Linked DNA regions of Saccharomyces cerevisiae S288C. The protein of the gene in region 2 binds, or shares a complex with, the protein of the main gene of each other region. Each region holds a gene or a part of one and is shown on either strand. Other genes may lie near its edges. A codon is read from its position in the direction of its gene.

Region 1 (2,512 bases), on a different chromosome or scaffold from region 2:
ATCTCCAGAATCCAGAACGCCTCCGCTTCTGGCGAAATCTAAACACACCATCAGGATCAATTTACTGCGCAGTATGTACTCGTACTTGTATATAAGATTCAAAGGATACCAAGAAAATGCTATTACGTTTAATAACGTCGAAGAACAGTATTGCACTATACTTGCTTGGTATAGATATGTACAAAATATATGTATATACATAAAATGAGTTATTCTTTTTCCTAATTCTCTTTTTCCTTTAGTAGAATATAAAATTATAATAAGGATTTTGTGAACATCTGACAGACAGGCTCGTTCGTGTCTATTTCCATTCTGAAATTTGAATGCGCTTTGGCGAGACATAGATTTGTGTCAAAATATGAAGTTGAGTGCCTTTATGAGGTTGGGTTGAACATGAACAACCAGCCAAAATAAAAAAATAATAAATAAGACGAGTGCCACTTATATAGCTTGAGAGAGAGAGAGAGCGTTTGCACGTATATGTGTGACATAATCAGCGTTTACTCATCATCGTCGTCTCCATCGCCTGCAGCTATTCGAGCCTTGACATCTTTCCATAATTTTCCTTTGTTGTGATTCTCGTACCATGAAGTAATAGCAGTATCAAATACAGTTTGGAAAACAAAGGCACCTGCAAAGATAGTACCAACAAAAACAGCGTTTCGTTTGAAAAAGGTTTTATATAGTGATGAAAAAGACTACTCATAATTTATGCATTGTTAGTAACCTGAATGGAAACGCATGGAACATATTCATAGAGCTGCTGTCACCAATTTCATAAGCTTCGCTAAGTCGTTGCGCTCATCGGTGGGAAACTAATTTCCAAAGCCCATGATACTTGGCTAAGGAAGATTCCACGGATAACATTTTTAGCCTGAAATGTGAAGCAGCACACACACACACCAACATACCATTTTAGTCCGTATTGCTATTGTTGCTTTACGAAATTGCGAAGGATATGAAAATCAACCTTCAACGATTATTGACTATCCGTGACAGGACATTAAATACAACTGCTAAGCTAAAGTTTGAGAGGGGATGTCATTAGGGAAAGGCCCAAGGATTGAGCAGCTTTTAGGTCCTAGAATTCTTTCGGCATTGACTTCCCCGCGTTTGATTGGGTCGTGTATAATGATACATATTAACAACTGGGGAGTTCAAAAGTTGCCTTCGCTAGATAAGGAAACTTATGATAGTCACTTCGAAGTATTTGTAATTAGGTTGGTATTACTTCTTTGTTAATAATAAATAAAAGTCAATCGACGCGCAAATGTTTAATAATGTATAAGTTTTTATATACAAATATGTCAACTATAAAACATAGTAGAGGGCTTGAATCTACCAAATCTCTCGCTCATCAGAGTCATCATTATCATCAGAGTCATCCTCATCGAGGTTTCTTGGATTTGTATTTCTTATGATAGTAGCTCCATCAAATTGAGGTCCTAAGAACTGCAATATTGGTGGGGGATTCTGAGGTGCATCATCATCGCCATTTCCCTGCGGTTGTAGAGTGTTCCTAAAGTTTTCGAAGAATTGGAAAAAATCACGTACTCCGCCACCAGCAATACCTTCTGCGCCAACCCCAAATAAGTTGGCGGCCTGTCCAGTTTCATCATCAACATCCATTTCGTCATTTCCCTCCGTAAAAAACCCGTCTTCTCCCTCTTCCATATCTTCATCATCTTCATCTGTTGGAGGTATTCTTCTTGGCCTTGGTTCTCTATTAAATGCAAACAAGAAACCATTGGAAAGTATAGTCACTCGAAATTCGTCACCCATTACTCTACTAATATAACCTGGAATTTCATTGTTAATCCATAATCTGTTTAAGTGCTCATATCTTTTCAAATTCAAGGTGGTTAAATCACCTCTTCTCATGGCATTTCTACCAACTTCACCATGCGAATTTAGATATGGTGCAGATATAAAAATATTAGAAGGAGGCTGTGTCAAATGGAGACAAACTTCACTTGAATTGGGCATCAGGAAGGCGCCAAATGGTTTAAAACAATTTTTATTCAAATGCTTGGTCATTTCATGGCGGTCCGCTCTTAAATGCACTTTGACACCACATGTCAAACATATTTTGAAATCTAATCGATTATCCGCATTCTTCATATGCTGAGAACGCTCTTCACGTAGCTTGATTTCCTTAGATTGGGTAACGTAAGTATTCAAATATTTTGATAAATCTATCAGTTTTATAATCCCACAATATTCATATGGGATGTTCTCCAAATATGGATGCGATACAATGGACTCCTGCGTTGTCAAAAGATCGACTAAGGATTCTTTTTCAGTAATCATTTTCAATGCCTTATTGACAAACTCGGCGGTATCTTCGAATTCCAGTTCTTCTTCAACCTCATGACCGTTGATGACCAGCGTTTCATTTTCAGAATCTTTCACTAATTCGTGTAGCACTTTGATAAAGACTAAGCACCTTCTTATCGTAGGAAGAAGACTCTTCAACAGGAAGGTATAAGCTAGATCATAAATAATACTTTCG
Region 2 (2,751 bases):
TTTAAATATTAATTATAATATTATTTGGTCTTTTCTTCCGGCGGGTTGAAAGTTCCAGCTGCGGGAGGAAGGTAAAGTACTCCATTTGAAAAAATAGAAATTACAAGAAACGGCGTTAGCATTGGCGTATGCCTAAATCATCAAAATGGCGAATGAAATAGGTTTCCCTGAAAACATAGAGATGTGCTGCCCAATTACAAAGCTCAAAAGATACATAAAAAGAGGAAAAACAAACCTGTAGTTAACTTTTCCCTACTCTTTGATAACTGATGTTTTAGTAAATATTCTGAAAATAGAGGGGTAAATATTTAAAAATGTTGTATGGATCAATTACTTTTTATACCTTTTATGATCCAGTTTAAAAATATGTATAGATAATCGAGAATATGCAAAAATAAAAAAAAATACAAATGTGTTTTGCATTAATTCCTCTTCCAAAATGATAGAAAAGAACGTAAAACAAATAAATAAAATCACTCAGCCGGTTGGATGTTTTGGCTTCAATTAGGTTTATCTTCTGGTGGAGTATGATCTTCCAATGTAGGTCCTAACAACGGAATCTTTTTGTATAGCGTATCTTGAAACTTAGGCCATCCTTCTGTGAATACAAATAGCCCAAGCATGCTAGCACCACCCCATAACATTAAATTCGGAGCATAAGCTGTTAAACTTCTTAAAGAAAGTCTACCGAAATGTAGACCAGTTTTTGAAGACAGATGAGAAGTGTACTGTATTATAAATGTTAGTATACTAATTCGGTTCTAGCTCACATAATATGATAGGATACTTACCGCCATTGAGGTTAGTTTTAAGTCTTATGGATTGTATTTATCGATATATTATTCGACTTGCGCTTTTGCTGTGAAGATTATTCCAGAAGATATCTATAACAAATTATGCATTCAAACTGTTATGTGATATATCCCGTCCCCTTGATAAATGGTATGGTTTTTTGATGCGGAAACAACGGGTTGAACCATATTTAGTTTTAATTGGATCAAAATCACGTGACAAAATACTACTTTGCAATAGTAATACGCACTTGAAAACTATGTAAATATAAGTATATATTCAAAGTGCGACAGCGTTATATCGCATAGCATTCTTCAGTCATTAGAGGTAGTGGTGAAGATTGAGGACAGTTTCGCGGCTCGTAACGTTAGCAAAAACTACCCATAACTAGGTGCATATTACACTGATATTAAATTACAGAGTGAGAAATCGTACTAGTATAATTAAAATAGAATGAGAAGCCTAATTCTTTTGGATTCCATGCTTTTTATAAGCCGGAATAGAAAATTTTTCAGTGAATGTCTGTCCTGGTAAAATCGGGGCAGTTTCCAAAATGCTCCTGATCTGTTCTTCATGCTTGTCGGTCCCTTCAGGGATGTGCTTGTAAATATAATAATCTAAATCCTCACCTGGCTCTGCCCTTCTAAATAGTTTTGAATGAAATTCAACGCCGTCTTCGGCCCTCTTTTTGGCCAGCTCTCTTTGGCGGTTTTCTATCTGAAACTTTTCTTCTGTAGCTACTTCATGGTCACGTACAGCCAGCGCATCCGTAACCTTCTTCCAAAGCCTTCTCGATTCGTATTCTCCCTGTTCCTCCAATGGGCGGACTTTAGGAGCTAGAGGAAAATGCTGATGAGTATCGAAGAGAACAGTCTTTTTAGAGCTTTTTTCCCTCAAATCTTTGATATACATAATATCATTCCACTTACCACTAATTTGGTAGTATTCCTTACCATCGTAATCCTTAATTGTACCTTCAATTGCATCATAGGTACCAGAAATAAAGCCCTTTGTTTTGAACTCAATATCCACTTGATACTTAGGACCCATAATGACCATGTGATCTCCCAATTCAATCCTCATCTTGCCAAACAGAATTCCCCTTGCGTAAACATTTGGTTGCGATAGAGTATATTTCTCTGGTTTACCATTTGCATCCTTGATATCAAGGAATTGCAATACAGTTAACCCCTCCATCATTGCAGCACTTGAGTTTCCTAAAAATTTCGATTTTGGCACAACAACTCCATCAACTCTAATATTCGATTCTGGAATCATGTAAAAATACGCAGATTCAGGAGGATGGTGACTCGTTTGTTCTGCAATGTAAAAGGCTTGTTGCTTGTTAGGCAAATCCCAATAAGCTGTAAAGTGTTCTCCAAGAATGGGATTTAGGGGCTTCTTCACAGCCCTGGGCCCAATGTGCCAACCTGCTAGGTACCATGCTACCACTTTAACGAACCTTTGCAGCCCGTCTTTATTGGAGTGTGCTTCTAAAAGAACATCTGGGAATTGTAATTGATTAGTGATTCTCTCCAACATCGATTTTTTTTCCAGAATAAATGTCGGAAGTGTGATTCTAGATAAATCACAACCTGGCTTCAGCTGGGAAATAATATTTAATAGAATACTTTGCCCAGATTCATCATTCTCATCGATATCATCCGTGTCTGCTCCGCTTGGTTTGGAATTTGCAGCATTGGATGCAATGCCGTTAATTGAGCTATGAGAACTGTTTGTTAAAGAAGGTATATTCTTTAGTTTATTGAGAGCCATTCTTTGTTTCTAATTTACTGGTTAGTTTCCTATTTCTAAATGAAAGAAGGAGGAATCTTTCCATTTTGAATATATCACATCCCTTCTTTGTTGACGATTTCAGAAAATATACTTTCATCCTTTAGAATTCTGGATTTGCGAGTGACCTCGGAAAAATTAGTACGCACGAGCGAATTAACATTC

What was found. Proteins that work in one complex are often made in the same cells at the same time.
Region 1: the proteins of QCR10 (region 2) and QCR9 are in contact, whole or in part, in a cryo-EM structure (PDB 8YIN), measured with the Saccharomyces cerevisiae proteins. Residues at the interface, in NP_011864.1 of Saccharomyces cerevisiae: Asn29 (codon at 650), Leu32 (codon at 641), Trp33 (codon at 638), Gly35 (codon at 632), Ala36 (codon at 629), Leu39 (codon at 620), Gly40 (codon at 617), Phe42 (codon at 611), Val43 (codon at 608), Glu46 (codon at 599), Leu55 (codon at 572), Tyr56 (codon at 569), Lys58 (codon at 563), Leu61 (codon at 554); in NP_011699.1 of Saccharomyces cerevisiae: Arg13 (codon at 665), Asn14 (codon at 662), Ala15 (codon at 659), Val16 (codon at 656), Val18 (codon at 650), Gly19 (codon at 647), Phe22 (codon at 638), Ala23 (codon at 635), Phe26 (codon at 626), Gln29 (codon at 617), Thr30 (codon at 614), Val31 (codon at 611).

Annotation. Positions count from the first base shown.
Region 1 is NC_001139.9:858,563-861,074, forward strand, and holds QCR9 (ubiquinol--cytochrome-c reductase subunit 9), read right to left. Parts: upstream 915-2,512; coding exon 912-914; intron 699-911; coding exon 501-698; downstream 1-500. Other genes in the region: protein translocase subunit TIM13, read left to right, coding at 1-42; E3 ubiquitin-protein ligase UBR1, read right to left, coding at 1,339-2,512. UniProt on the Saccharomyces cerevisiae protein: Component of the ubiquinol-cytochrome c oxidoreductase, a multisubunit transmembrane complex that is part of the mitochondrial electron transport chain which drives oxidative phosphorylation.
Region 2 is NC_001140.6:105,872-108,622, reverse strand, and holds QCR10 (ubiquinol--cytochrome-c reductase subunit 10), read right to left. Parts: upstream 798-2,751; coding exon 792-797; intron 729-791; coding exon 501-728; downstream 1-500. Other genes in the region: oxysterol-binding protein related protein OSH7, read right to left, coding at 1,255-2,568.